2 linked regions of the Mytilus edulis genome follow. The protein of the gene in region 2 purifies or fractionates together with the protein of the main gene of each other region. This does not show direct contact. Links are inferred from orthologs where the notes say so. Each region holds a gene or a part of one and is shown on either strand. Other genes may lie near its edges.

Evidence for each region. Proteins that work in one complex are often made in the same cells at the same time.
Region 1: the proteins of nudC domain-containing protein 1-like (region 2) and putative pre-mRNA-splicing factor ATP-dependent RNA helicase PRP1 purify together in Homo sapiens (co-immunoprecipitation; 3 studies listed by BioGRID and IntAct, with this or other methods). This does not show direct contact. The link is inferred for Mytilus edulis from reciprocal best matches to the Homo sapiens genes NUDCD1 and DHX15.

The regions. Positions count from the first base shown.
Region 1 is NC_092347.1:43,276,881-43,284,839, forward strand, and holds the start of putative pre-mRNA-splicing factor ATP-dependent RNA helicase PRP1, read left to right. Parts: upstream 1-4,839; 5' UTR 4,840-4,925; coding exon 4,926-4,978; intron 4,979-7,959. Other genes in the region: probable ATP-dependent RNA helicase DDX56, read right to left, coding at 446-536, 1,091-1,261, 1,964-2,037, 2,864-2,944, 3,644-3,805, 4,659-4,727.
Region 2 is NC_092348.1:48,748,395-48,756,590, forward strand, and holds the start of nudC domain-containing protein 1-like, read left to right. Parts: upstream 1-4,958; 5' UTR 4,959-5,036; coding exon 5,037-5,148; intron 5,149-6,693; coding exon 6,694-6,845; intron 6,846-8,060; coding exon 8,061-8,196.

The sequences.
Region 1 (7,959 bases), on a different chromosome or scaffold from region 2:
TTTTCCCTTTAATCATGTTGAGATTCTATCTAGGACAAATATAACATTTTATTTATTATAATATATTATTTTAATTAATTTTATAGTTTTTAAGATCATTTTTATAGCAATCAAAGAGCCAGCATAATTATACTTGAACTTGAAAAGATATTAGAAAGGTTAGAAAACAGTTGCACATGAAATATTGAAATTGTTTTTTATGGGACAAATTCACATATAAAACCAAGTTTTGCATAAATTTGAGAACCCTTTTTTGACTAAAAAGTACAGCAATTCTACATATGAAAACAAATTTTGCTTACAATTTGAGAATTTTTTTTTTTACTAAAGAGTACAATTTAATCGAAAGCAATGATATTCCAATGCCTTAGAAAACAAAGAGTTAGAAGCAAGAAGCAAGTTGACATAAAAAATATAAATTACATATCTACATTATACAACTTACTGCATTATGAAGAACTAATTTCTTCAAACTTAATACATCATCACTGAGCGTAGCTGACATAAGGAAAGCTTGATATATCTTTGGCAGTTGTCTGAAATACAAATACAATTTCTTTATTTAAAATCGTGACTATATTACTAAGACTTCTACAATGGTATAAGTTTCCTCTAAAATGATGTTCTATTCAGTCAAAAACATAAACAACATTATTATTCCCATGTTGTTATGCTATTTCGATCACAGTTTATTGAAAATATTTGTCTTATAATATTTGAAGTTGCCATAACAGACCTTTATTATTCTCTGATATAGTGATACTTGTGATGAAATACATCAGAGTTTGATTTTGCAGTTTTTACATCTCTTTTTTCTATATCATTAAAGATCATTAAACAAAATGTACAAGAAAGCTTAAAATTACTGCTCAACAGAATGTTATATCATTCAAAGACGATGAAGAAAATAGAGGAAACCTTACGTAACTTGTTGTTTATAACTATGAGAGAGAGGGGCAAACATCAGTTTGTCTTAACAAATAAAATCTGAAACAAATATTTGGTGTAAGCTATAACTCATGCAAGGGCCTAACATATTAAAGTCCTCAAAGAGCATATGAGGGTTTGAGACAAATAACTAAAAATTTACTTTATGATAGCTTTAACATCATCCTCATAGCCAAAAGAGAAAACCAGATCGGCTTCATCTATCACAAGCATCTCCAAGGTGTCTTTGATACTGAGATTACCAGCCTGTATGTGTGCCAGGATACGTGTAGGTGTACCAACAACTATATCGGGTTTCTCCATCAATTTGGGTCTGTCAAAATATAGATAAATCTTACATTATTCTAAATGCATATAAGTTTATATGTTGTGCAATATTACTTAACAGAGTGGGCAAAACAACAGATAAAATAGTTCAATGTTGCCATTATGTATGCTAATACATGTAATCTTTTGGCAGCATTTGGTGTTTCTACCAACCATGACTCTTTCTAGTAAGGGAACTGCTTAACCTTGCAGAGTCCTAGAGTACTCTCTGTTCTATTTTGTAGGGTTTGTGTAGTGTAATCTTAGTTTCCTGTGCAGCATTTTGTAGACTAATGTTTGACTTTACATCTTTTTACTTTTGGATGTGGTGTTGTTTGTCTTTTTCAATTTATGATTTTTGATTGCCATCTTCGTATCTTCTTATTTTTACAAGAGAGAAAGAAGTAACTTATTCAACACCTTGTACATTGTAGATGTTCTAACCATGATAAAACATTTTTATTTGTCAGCCAGGCATGGTGTTCAATGAACATATACAACTTGTTTTCATTAATGTGTACCTTTCCTTTACATATATGTTGCTGTTTGATAGATATATGAACATGTGGTATGAGTGCCAATGAGACAACTCTCCATCCAAGTAACAATTTATAATAGTAAACTATTATAGGTTAAAGTACACTTAGTTTCTGTCTTTCTGATGGTTTTTTTTGTTACTCAATAAGATCACTATCATTTGTGATGTTACCTTTGTGTAAGCAGTGGAACTTTTGGCGAAACATCAACACATTTTATTTCTCTGGAACAACATGATGTCAATTCCTGAAACAGAGAGTAGAAATCAAATACATGTACTAATGAAATATTTCTATATCCAAATACTATAAATTCATATGTACCAACTTTAAATAAAACTAATATGAATGCAAAATTGACATAATAAAATTAAGAAAGGAAATGGGGAATGTGTCAAAGAGAAAACAACCCAACCATAGAGTAGACAACAGCCGAAGGCCACCAATTGGTCATCAATACAGCGAGAAACTCCTGCTCCAGAGGAGTCCTTAAGCTGGCCCCTAAACAAATATGTATACTAGTTCATAATACATGTTTTCATAAATACATGACCTCAATACTATATTCTTATGCATAACATGCAACTTATTTTCTGATTATTAGCGAGAAAGCTCTGTAATGTTGGTGTATCAAGAATGTCCAAGAAACCAAAACTGTAGAAATGTAATTTAATACATGTACCTCTCTCTTTTTCTAAAGACTTTTGTTACATGATTAATTTTGTCCCACCATCTACCTTATGTTAATTTTTTGTGCTATCTATGAGTAGGTTTAAAGAGAGATCATCAAGATACATGTACATGTACACTAATGTCACATGTGCATATACACTAATGTTACATTTAACTAATGTGACATTTACATTTATCTCTATAAATACAATGTATAGTATACATTGTATTTATAGAGATAAATGTAAATGTCACATTAGTTAAATTGTACACTAACCATAAGATTTTTATATATGTACATGTACACTAATTTTACATGTAACTGTATAAAACAATATATACTAACCATAAGTATGTACACTAATGTTACAAGTAACTCTTTAAATACAATATATACGTACCATAAGATTTTTATATGCTTGGTGACATAGTTCCTTAGAAGGGGTCAGGAAAAGAGCTTTTGTACACTGTTCTTTACTGGTCTAGAGAGAAATTGAGAAAATGTACTTTCTGCAAAACTATTTGTAGTACATACAGTATTCATATCTGTAAAAAAATACTTGCAACACAATGCATTTTGGAAATTTGTTTGATGTCCTTATGAAACTTCAGATATGGTTATATATAGTTTAATTTATCAATGACGAAAACATGATGATTAATTGACCTTTACTGAAAATAATTAATATTTCTAAATACATTACATACAGTATTTTATCTATTTCTCAGTTCAAGAGAATGCAAAATGATTATGTTCCATACTACATATTCAGAGTAAAACAATTTTCCATTTCAAAGAAAAATGGAAAATATTCAGTGTACTAGTATGCATTGTTTTACTCACACTAACATCAGAGTATATCTTATTTCATCACATTGTATATCAAAAATATTTAACTCGAGTCAGTTGTTATGCTTTATTTGCTTTGTATTTGAACATGTGACATGTTAGATTAAACATAGATTTCAAAGTACTGTGGATTCATTTACTTTTGTGGGTACCAATTTTCGTGGATTGCCGAAAAACTTGCCTTTTCGTAAATATGTGATTTCGTGGTTTTGCCAAAGTCTGTATACCACCAAATAAAAAGCTTGTTGAAAATTTTAATTTGTGGTTAACCTGTACCCACGAAAACTGGTATCAAACAAATAATAATAATCCCTAGTAGTATTATTATTACCTGTTTAGACTGTAATATTTTTTGAACCACAGGAATGGAGAATGCTGCTGTTTTACCAGATCCAGTCCTAGCCCTTGCCAAAATGTCTTTTCCTTCTAAAGCCAGAGGGATTGCTTTTTCCTGAATTGGTGTTGGTGTTGCCCAGCCTAAATTTGCAATTGCCTGTAAGCGTAAAATATAAATTAATTCAATACTAACCTATTGGTAAACAATGGGATATCCCTCCAAACTCTATCTGCTGTTACACAGTGCACTCTTCATAAAAGATTTCATACAACAAATCCATAATAAGCACAGGAATTGAAGACACTTATAATTTTGTGCCAAACCAAGATCAAACAGTACATAATTTCAAAATAGAAAGAGGAAAAATTATCTATAAATAAGGATACATTGTACTAATGTTTTTCACAAACATACCAGCTCCAGTAATAATCATGATTATAAACTAATAAATTGGTCTTTATATAAGCTTAATTTTGGTATGGGTTCAAACTAAAAATAAACATTGTGATAAATGACAAAAATTATTTTCTTGGATAAATGAAAATCATCAACATTGCAAACATCACAGAGATGCATTGTCAAGCTTCGAGTCTGTAGCTAGTCAAGTGATGTTAAAATAATCTGTTGTATCTCAATGAACATGTAGCACACAGCATAGATAGAAAACACCAAGAACCTGTCAGTTGCACTACAAAAATGCATAATTTTCAAACAGATCACAGTATTTTAAGCAAAATATTAAAATAAAGACAGAGATGTCCAGTCATATAGAATGACCAAAATAAGAGCGATTTATTTGATGTGAAGTGTTCTATAAGGTTTGTGAATATGGGAATGCAATGGTCACCATTTTGTATTACCCCATATACATTCTGTACCCTTCTGTGAATGTGATTATAACAAATTTGAAGTGACATATTATAAGTTTGATAAAATTTTTAATTAATCATAGAGGTGCGATCTAATATTTCATATCACATATAACCTTATTGCTTATTATCATGTGCACCTTTAAAATTCTGTCATCCAACCCCATCTCATGGAAATTCAAGGTTTTGTCCTCATCTGGTTCTGACATCGTCTTGCTTGTTTTGATTTTACCGGAAGTACAAAAAACATGTGCTTCCTTTACCTTAAGTCTGACAGAACTTTTATTTATTCAAGCGTGACTATAAAGTCATTCTTATCTCTCTTGGGTTTTCGTTGAGTTTTGTTGTAAAATCAAATGTCCGAATGACGTCATTTGCCATACTGCAATATACAGGGTAACAACAAAATGTCGAAAAGACACAGAATCGACGTTGGCGACTCTTTGCCAAAACGCACAAGGTATGACAGCTGTAAAGTCATGGCAGCCTTTGCCTCATTCAATTTATTAAGACACACATTTGTCTTGTTTCATTTCTCTAACTGTAGAATACCTATAACACTATTAATTGAACATTTCCACAGTAGCGCACAACGCATGCCGAATCGGACATAATTTATCCCCCCTTTTCTTCATAAATCTTTTCAGTACTTGTCAGAGGGAGGGACTGTCCCTGAAGTCTTTTAGGATCTCCTGTAGTTGGTGATCTCAATACTGGTATACTAGTATTGTGCACAATACTGGTATAAAAACTTTGTACCAGTATTGTTTTCCAGTATTGTACCAGTGTTGTGTTTTTTTAAATAAACAAATACATATAGGTGATTAATCTTTAATTAAAGGTGTCACATATATAAATGCATAATGAAATTAACATATGAAATGACAATTTTATATGAAATGATTGTAAAAATCAAATCAAATATTTTATTATAGTCTCACCTCTCTACATGTATCCTCGTGTATTGTATTTTCGACCTTCTAACATTTTTCTGAATTCCCTGTTATATGTTTGACCATAGACATACCTAATATTTTGAGAGTCGCTAGTATACTTGTGCATAAAATAATTGTATCGGAAATATATTTCGATCTTTAATTAATTTCATTTGAGTTCATTAGATCGATGGCACCTTTGTTGACAAAAACAAGGGTCTTGTGTTTTTGACCTATCTATAAAAAAACGAGTCTAAAGTCAGAAACGACATCTCGTACATATCCGGAATTGGTTATAAATTTGATACCAAAGTTTATATCAAAGTGTTAGAGGCGATCTAACTTATGACTTAAAGAATTAAATGGTTAAATATACAACTACATGTACAAAATGTATAAGATATAAAATATTATTTTGATGTCTTTTTTGGACAAGTTGTACACATTTTAGAATGAGGCACTTTGGAAGCCTTGTATGGTCTTGTATACATTCTTGTTTTTTTTAAATACTTTGGTTTATCCATTGTGAAGTGAGGTTGGTGAGTATTGTCTGTAATTTCCATTTCCACTGACACTGTTTTTTCTGTAAATAAAATTGAACTGATATTTTATTTTTTGGTAAAAAGCTGTAAGGAGCATGCGTATTTCTGTATTCAAATTAACTTTAAGTATAAAAACTAACCACCTGACAGTCATGTGACTTAATGACCTTGAAGTTAACTTTGCATGCAAAAAGACCTCTAAAAAAACGTAAATACTTAATATAATAACTTTATTTGAAAAATCTTCACCCCACATGGTATCATTTGCTATTGTTACTAAGTATAGCAGCCGAATATGACCTCATGCAGGCATGCGCAGCATACGAAAAGTGAAAGTAGAATTAGGTCGAAAACGTCAGACGGTCGAAAACACAATACGAGATGATACATTACAAACATGAATACAATATATACAACATGTTTTAATTAAAAGTACAAAACAATCTTAAAAACATTCGAGAGCCACTCTCAAAAGAGTTATGAGAGACTTTTACATAAAAAAAGGACAGCTCGATAAAAATACAAAACATTTTTTATCTATATAAAACATTCTTCCTTTGAATTAAAATATCATGGCAGATTTTGGCAGAATAAAAGCACAAATTTTCATTTGTAAATAAAAATATAAATTTTTCATCATCATTTAAGTCTAAAAAATCAATATTAAAAGAAACTGCTCTAGTAAAAAACCTCTTGTCTTGCCTGTGAATATAAAGGGCATTTGGGTAAAACATGTTTCTCATCTTCAATGAGTTTCTGTTGCATACATGAATCATTAAAACAAAATCTATTTTCACTTAAAACCCCTTCATATCTGCCTGTTTCAATTCTAATCGGCGCCACACCACATCGAAATTTAGCAAAGGCACTTTTATATTTTCCTGGCACATGAAAACTTAAATAATGTTCTTTATAATATTCTTGTTTAAATAATCTATCAACTTTTGTTGCAGAAAGCTCGACATAGGGATAGTGATCCGGCGGCGACGTTAGCTAACTTCTTAAAAGCTTTACATTTTAGAAGGTGAAAGACTTGGATGCTTCATACTTTGTATATAGATGCCTCATGTTACGAAGTTTCCGTCAGTCACATGTCCAATGTCCTTGACCTCATTTTCATGGTTCAGTGACCACTTGAAAAAAAAGTTCAGAATTTTTGTAATGTTGAATTCTCTCTTATTATAAGTAATAGGATAACTATATTTGGTATGTGCGTACCTTGCAAGGTCCTCATGCCCGTCAGACAGTATTCACTTGACCTCGACCTCATTTCATGGATCAGTGAACAAGGTTAAGTTAGGGTGGTCAAGTCCATATCTCAGATACTATAAGCAATAGGGTTAGTATATTTGGTGTATGGAAGGACTGGTATGTGTACATGTCCAACTGGCAGATGTCATTTGACCTTGACCTCATTTTCATGGTTCAGTGGTCAAAGTTAAGTTTTTAAGTTTTGGTCTTTTTATCTAATATTATATGCCAAAGGTCAACTATATTTGGTGTATGGAAATATATTATGATCTATATGTCAGTCCCGCAGGTTTTATTTGACCATGACTTCAATTGCACAGTTCATTGCACAGTGTTAAGTTTTTGTGTTTTGGTCTATTTTTCTTAAACTATAAGTAGTCTTTGACAACTTTCCAAGTCCTGTTGAGAAAAAAAATGAACATGTTGAAGATTTTATATTGATTTCAATAATTCTTAATCAGTTATACACAATTACCTCTTTTTGTGTTTTCTGTCTTATCAAAATATATATTGCAAAGTTTATAATGACCCCTAAAATACGCATTAGTTAAGCTAAAAAACAGTTTTGATCTAATGTTTTTTTTCTGGATTCAAAATAAATTATAACAGCTACTGGTAACAGTTTTTTCTAGGTCATATGTAGGGAAGTGAGGGCATAAGGTTTTCTTAAGCTTTTAGGTTGGAAAAAATGCAATAAATCATGTGCTGATCTT
Region 2 (8,196 bases):
TAGAAGGGTTTAGAGCTAGATATCATCAGATTCTCCGATCATGCATATTTTGCAACTATCATATATAGCATAGACCTGTTTGTCGAATTGAGACAAACGCACCATTGTTGTAATATTTCCCACTGGACGTTTAATTATAAAAAAAACATCGTCAAAGCGTTATCGGTGTATTTTCAATCTTGTGTCGCAACAATGCTTATCTTGACAACGTCTTTAGTTGCATTTCGGGAAGCCGTTGCATTGCAAAGTTTTGCAAACAAAATAAGCTGTTTGAATATCTTGATCATCTAAATATTAATATTATCACAAAATGGGTACATGTTGTACAAAATGTGAGAGGAGCAGTCGAGAGAACATTAGAAGAAGAAACTTATCAAGACTTAGAAATTACGTTTCGTCGCAGTGGCAAAGATTGAGGGGAAATAGAGTGGTCAAAATTACAATTCATCCATCACCCATGCCATCATCATCCAATGTAAGTAACCGTACTTACGTAATATCAAAGAAAGAAGAACCTTCCACTGAATATATTTCACCGAATGACGTAGTCATGGAATTAAAACAAGGCACATCCATTTGTAGAGGCTGTGCATTTCAAAACGAGGAAGAAGAGCTGGAGTTAATAAGTTTAGAAAAAACAAAGGATGATATTGGAGCTGCGGCCTCTATTTTAGTTGAAGAAGTGCTACCTATAAATAAAAAGGCAAGGCCAAAAGCCGCAAGAGGAACACGAACCTCAATGACAATAGCAGATTCAATTGTGCAAGAAATTACTCTTCCAGGGGAAGTTTTATCGTCGAATACAGACTTACCACTTACATCAAGAACACTACTAACTGTGTCACCAATCAAATCCGTCCAGCAGATAAACTTGGATAAGTGGATGAATAGACACATAAACGACTAAAATGCGGGTGTTAGATTTTTTGTGCTTGTTTTTTTTTTTTTTACTTTTTTTTTATGTATTTATAACTTTTTGTGTGACATATAATTCGTAAACATAACATGACGTTCATTATGCATATATACGATGATAATTATATTTATGATGTGCCTTACCAAATGACATATAACATGTGATTTGCAGAACAGGATGCAACCCTCTGGCGCACTGTGAAAAGTCGTAAGGTTGTAAGTCACTGGCGTAGATGGAATAAGCTCGTAAACTTGGCCTGCTGCAATTCAAATCTTGTTTATGGTATTTTATTGCTATAATTTCATGTCATTTGATAGGGTACATCTTAAATATGAATTATCACCATATATGTTAATTGTATGTTTAAAATACATTATTTTCCTTCTTCAAATTCGTTATATTTTACTTTGAAGTTTTTCAATTGTTAAAGTTTATGTTAAAACTTGTGTTTAGGAGGCTAATATAATCTCCAAGAGAGTTGTTAAATTCATCGTAACAATTCTGTCAACAACAGCGTTACCCTAACAACACTTGTAAACAACTGGACACTGGATGATAACTTGGTTCTTCTTTGAAGAATTTGATGATGTTCCCATCGACTTTTTATATAATATGGTTACTAGCAAGAGCAGGATTGTTTTTTGTTGTTTATATGGTAAACGTTACTAGCAAGAAAATTCTGTTTTTCAGACCGCCTTGGTGGATGCATTTTTTGGCCTTTTATAGCAGACTATACAGTATATGCTTTGCTCATTGTTGAGGGCCGTACTGTGAACTATAGTTTACTGTGTCATTTTGGTCTCTTGTGGAGAGTTGTCTCATTGGCAATCATACCACATCTACTCTTTTTTAGATATATATATATTTGGTTATTAACAAGAACAGAATTGGGTTTTGTCAGACCGCATCGGTGGTGTATATATGGTTACAAGCAAGAACAGGATTTTTTCAGACCGCCTTGGTGGTTAATATATGGTTACTAGCAAGAACAGTTTTTTTTCATATCGCTCGCTGTGTGATCGACTCAAGTGCTGGATAATATGGGTTCAAACCTCGGCCTGGTCAAATATGGGGACAGTATACAGAAACTAACGACTTGAAATTGGTATGTGCTGCTTCTCGGCCAAACATGGCAAGAAGTGGTTGGGGCAAATAAAATTGAGAAAGGAAATGGGGAATGTGTCAAAGCGACAACATCCCGGCCATAGAGCAGACAACAGCCGAAGGCCACCAATGGGTCTTCAATGTAGCCAGAAACTCCCGCACCCGGTGGCGTCCTTACGTGTCAATGTTTTTGAAGTATAATGACATATATATTCAGCTGTTATGACACCTTCGGTTTCTTGTACCAGAGTATTATTCTTTAAAAAAGTGTTTCTCAAAAACATTTCTCATCACACAAATATTTATACAGGTAGATGTTGACTGGCTGTACAGCCCTTGCCGTTACGGTCGGCTGGTGATTGAGGACGTCTTCCTTTCTTTTAGATTTTTAAGTGACAGATAACAATTGGTCTAGATATTTCATTAAATGTGTAAATTTTGAGAGTAGTATTAAATTCACGTGTAAATTCATGTAGTGTAGCGAGAAAAAAGTCTGGTCACCAAACTTTTTATTACATTTTGGATAAGAAGCATGATTAAAACTTTATCCCCCCCCCCCCCCCCCCAATTCACCTTTAAAAGAAGAAATCGAATACTCTGCAAAAAATGAAAAACAATATCATATGATAATTTTGTAAAAAAAAAAAAGGCACAAATTCATAAATGTGACTGATGTTTTATTACCATGCATACATATCGAACAGTTTAGAAAAAACAACAATATTGGTCAGCAAACGATACAACAGAAATAGAAAGGACGGAAAAATAATAAATAAAACAAGAATGTGTCCTCAGTACACGAATGCCCCACTCGCACTATCATTTTCTATGTTCAGTGGACCGTGAAATTGGGGTAAAATCTCTAATTTGGCATTAAAATTAGAATGATCATATCATAGGGAACATGTGTACCAAGTTTGAAGTCGATTGGACTTCAACTTCATCAAAAACTACCTCGACCAAAAACTTTAACCTGAAGCGGGACAGACGGACGAACGAACGAACGGACGGACGAACGAACGAACGAACGAACGAACGAACGAACGAACGGACGGACGAACGGACGGACGGACGGACGAACGGACGCACAGACCAGAAAACATAATGCCCCTCTACTATCGTAGGTGGGGCATAAAAAGCGAAGGAATAGTTTGTAGTGAACATGGGATGTTAATGTAGGTAGATGTGGTTGACTGGAGAAAAAAATAATGGTTTATGTACAGCCAAAATACATGTTTTTCTATTTTTGGAAAAGAGAGACGAAAGATATTAAAGGGATATTCCAACAAAAACAGACATTACATTTTTGGTATAATTGTGTTTTCGTAATTCGTTCTTTCAGAAAAACAGAATCACCTAACAAAACACACGATTTACAACATGGGACTGGTGTTGCAAAGAATACAGGTTTAATTAAGCATATAGTATGCGATTGGAAATTTATGTGTTTTTCCTTTTTGAAAAATATAATAAATGAAGAAGATTTGTTGTTTCCGTAATTCCGTAATTCAGTATAAAATACATGTATATACAAAACATAATCATTGGATGGACAAGTGTCTCATTGGCATCCATACCACATCTTTTTATATCTGTCGTTGTTCCTTTTTCCTTCTTTTTTGCTGTACATGTTAAAACTTTATTCAAAAAGAGGGACAGTCAAACTCATAAATCGGAAATAAACCGACAACGCCATGGCTAAAAATGAAGAAAAAGACAAACAGACAAACAATAGTACATATGACACAAGATATGAAACTAAAGAATAAGCAACACGAATCCAACCAAAAACTGGAAATGATCTAATGTGCTCCAGGAGGGTAAGCAGATCCTGCTCCACATGTGGCACCCGTCTTGTTGCTCATGTTATAACCGTGAAATCCGGCAAATAGTCTAATTCGGTAGGTCACTTGATATCACATATTCTGATTATTACAACGATGTTGTTTATATGTAGTGTGTAGAGCCCGTAAAATTAGACACGATCCATGTTTTACTTTTTGATATTTCGAATTCGCCGCGTTTTAAATATTGTGGTAAAATCTTTCGATGAAACATTGACGTTTTTTTTTAATTATCAGAAAATAACTAAATAGAATGTATTGTTATAACATTTTACATTTGTGTCTGTTCCTCTGCAGTTGTTGTTGGTTGCTGTCTGTCATATTAATAGTCTTTCGTTTATTATTTCAGCATAAATCAGGCCTTGTGCTTCGAAGGATCAATAATGATGAACAAGAACTCATTCTGAACTCGAACTTATACTGTGCCTAATATTTCCGTTGACTGCTTACGCAAAAAGATGAAGACAGAAGAGTGGGATCTACGGCTGTCAAAGGAGGTCTTTACTTTACTCAATTTTGCCTACATGCGTACGGAAAAAGATGTAAAATTCAGTGAAACTCTGAATCAATTTTAAATATGTCTTGAGTATAAAAAAAGGCAAGTAAAAACCAACACTCGCAAAAGGAGGTAGAACCTCCAGGGATATATCCGATGGAGTTATCAAAGAGTTTCCGTTTTTGGAGGAGTTGTGCAATCCAATGAGTATTTATTGAAAATTTGGCTAGAGCAAAAATGCCACACTGTTTAATACGGTATAGAAATTTCGATGAGATCTGCACAGGCACTCGTGTTAGAAAAAAATATTCCTATATGTGTTATATAAAGGTATATACTAAGATTTTTTTCTAAGACGAGTTCCTGTTTCTGGCTGCACTGAATACTAGCAAGGAATTGTATATTTAATATACAATTCCTTGATACTAGTCTTTCCAAATAAATCGACATCTTGATATTGACACTACTGCAATATTATGTTCATTTTTACCATTTTCTTCGTGATATTGTTATAACAATTTTTTACCGACGCATAGCAAATTAAAACAGTTAGAAATTAAAAAAAACATGCAGTAGTCGGGATCATGTAATGGGTTTTAGGTACAAACTGGTTTCCCAAAAATGTTATCTATCTATTATGGGTATAAAAAAGGCGAAATTCAATACCAGATAAGCCATGGCAGAAAAGTTTGATTTGCAAATAAAACGGGAACTCTTAGACTCGTCATTTGACGGATACAAACTGTCGTTAGACAGTCTGCCCACATACAGCCTTCAATTTGGAATTGGTAAATTGCTTGATGATTTTTTTGTATAGTACATTTTGATCGGTGAAGTGTACTTTGTAGCCCTGCTCATGCTGAGCAAGCTTATATACGACGTACGTCACGTAGCCTCTTTGAAAAGCGCCACAGCAAAATTAGAAATACCATTTTAAGCCGCCAAGGATTTGTATACTACTATACTAATCCCAACCCAGTAGAAAAGGGGGTAGGTGAGTTCGAATCTGGGTTCGTTCGCCCTGAAACATCCCAGTCCCAGAAAAAAAATAAATCAGCGCTAGCCTTGACAGACGTCATAATTATTTTGACTACTGTTCGCCCTTATACCTGTTCGCCCAGGGTCCATTCGCCTTGATTTTTATTTTTTTCTAATTAAGGTTCATCATAACAAACGGACAAATATGGCTGTATTTACATGCCAAAAATTACTCTGAGTACAGACCTACCTGTGAAGTTGGAAAAGTTTTAATGCCTGGCACCCACTAGATATATAAAAGTTAAATGCATTTTGTGTTAAAGAAAGATAAAATCTTTTTTGGTTTTTGATGGGCATTTTTTTTTCCTTCATGCAAAAGTCATATAATTTTAAGTATTTTGAACAAAATATGTTGAAGTTTGTTGAAAAATTGAGAGAATATTTATATTGCCGTAATCAATTTGTCTCATTTACAAATCAACTTAGTTACAAATTGATCAAGTATGAAACGACATGCATTCCTGTAAAATTTGACATGACAATTTATTTTTTAACCCTCTTGTTGCCAGCTGTTTTTCAGGGTTTCATTTCATATTTGACGGAAAATACGACCGCTCGACGTTTGTGACGTGACATGCCAAACAATGACGTCATTCTGTATATGACATCATGCTGTAATGACAGTTACATTTTAGAGCCATTGTAGAATCATATTACACTTTTTAATTTTGGTTTTTTTATTTTGAAAGAGGTACAGCAATGATGAGAAGCTTGCATAAATTAAAACATGGACACATGTGTCCCTCCAGCACAGTTGGTGTGGACACATGTGTCACTCCGGCACCAAGAGGGTTAAGAAACTGAAAGATTGACATCATAATGAAAATGGAATTGTTGCTTGACGTCAGCATACATAAACAAGTTCAATCTGAAAATACTACTAAAGGAAGAGACTGTTTTCATTGAGCCATAACTTCTCTGAAACCATACAAAGTGATAAGACGTATAAATGAATTGTTTTGTACTTTCCAAATTATGCTCTTTGACACAATCTTTTTTCCACAGAACACTCCAATTTTTATCCAAATTCAAAGACCGTTATTGATTCTTGACTGAACTTTTTCCCACATGCTCAGTCAACATACTGCTGTGAAAACTATTTTTAACACTTGTTCATTTGTACCATGATTTCGTGGGCATCTGCTAGTAAAAATTAACTGTAAGAATAAAAAGACTTGTCTTTTTTTGTTTCATCCAGTTCTCTGTAAAATAAGATTTATTGCATTCTTCAACTAAATTCTGAGTGATATAAATAAAAGAATTAGAGTAATGATTATTTGTAACAATTCTTCCAGGTATAGAGAAGGTGGACCTTACAGACGGTCAGTATTCCTACCATCATGCTAAGATCCTTGGACAACACAATCATTTAGCTTTAGATCCTTGGAATCAGCAGACAGTATATTATATAGATCAGCTATGGCGCATCAACAAAGCCTTCATTGCAGTAAGTAAATGGTTACATTTGTTTTAACTTTTTTATTACAAATTATTTTAATTAGAAGTCTGAGGGTAATGTTTAGGAGTTTATAAGAACATGTGAGACTTTGATCTGGCTCAAAGGGACCATGAAAGTATAAAGAAAGTGTGCTTTCTTGAAATCATAATAACTTATCTAACATTTTTGTCAATTCTTCAAAAATAACAATTATAATCATGATGATAGATACACACAATAATTTTCGATTTAAATATATACATATGTAATCAGGGGTTCAAATTAGTGTTGGTCGAATGTTGGAGACCTGTCTTTTCTAGAAGGGGACTTTTCATTTTTGAATAACAAGTCAAGGACCTACAATTCTTTACTCTGATATACAGGAACACTGAATTTCTTATGGAGGACCTTTCAAATGGTCCTGGACCTTTCACTATTTAATGCAAATTTGAACCTCTTATAGTATGGACATAAACATGATGAAGGGAACTGATGAAGCCCCTCTCAGAATCAATCAGGAAAAAAGAATGTTTTAATGTAACCAAGCCAATATTGAAAAGTTTATGCACTTATTCAGTATTCTGTCAAATGAATAATTGTAAATGTGACCATATAGTGATATAATCTTCTTGCAGTTATGTTACATAAAGTAATCAGCAAACAATCTATCAATAAAGAATAACTCATTATACATGTATCTTCTTCATACTTATTATTAATGTGGTACATGAAGGTGTTATTAATTTGCTAGGAAGGTTTATGGTAATTTAAATTAACCCTGATACATAGATATAAGATGTGGTATGAGTGCCAATGAGACAACTCTCCATCCAGGCATCCAAGTCACAATTTGTAAAAGTTAACCATTATGATTATAGGTCGAAGCAAGCTATAAAGGGCCCAAAAATGAGTAGCGTAAAATCGTTCAAGTGGGAAAACCAACAGTCTAATCTATATAAAAACAAGAAACAAAAAGCACTTTATATGAACCATATCAACAAACGACAGTCATTGAACATCAGGTTCTGACTACTAACAGGTGCAAACAAATGCTATGGGTTTAAACATTTCAGTAAGTAACAACCTTCATGATTGAATATAACATTATGTTTATAGTAAAAGCTTCATTGTAATGGTAATATATACAACTGAATTAAAATTTGATAATTGTTCCAATTCAATTGCATAAACACTTTCAAAAAAAAAATTCATTTATTGTTTTAGGACATGCAATTGAACCAGACTGAATCCATTCTTCAAATCCCAGATTCAACCAATCAGAAACTAGTACCAGAAAGAGTCAATCTTTGTTTACAGTTTGTTTCAATGGAAATGGCAGTTGTGACTGATGGAGCTGGAA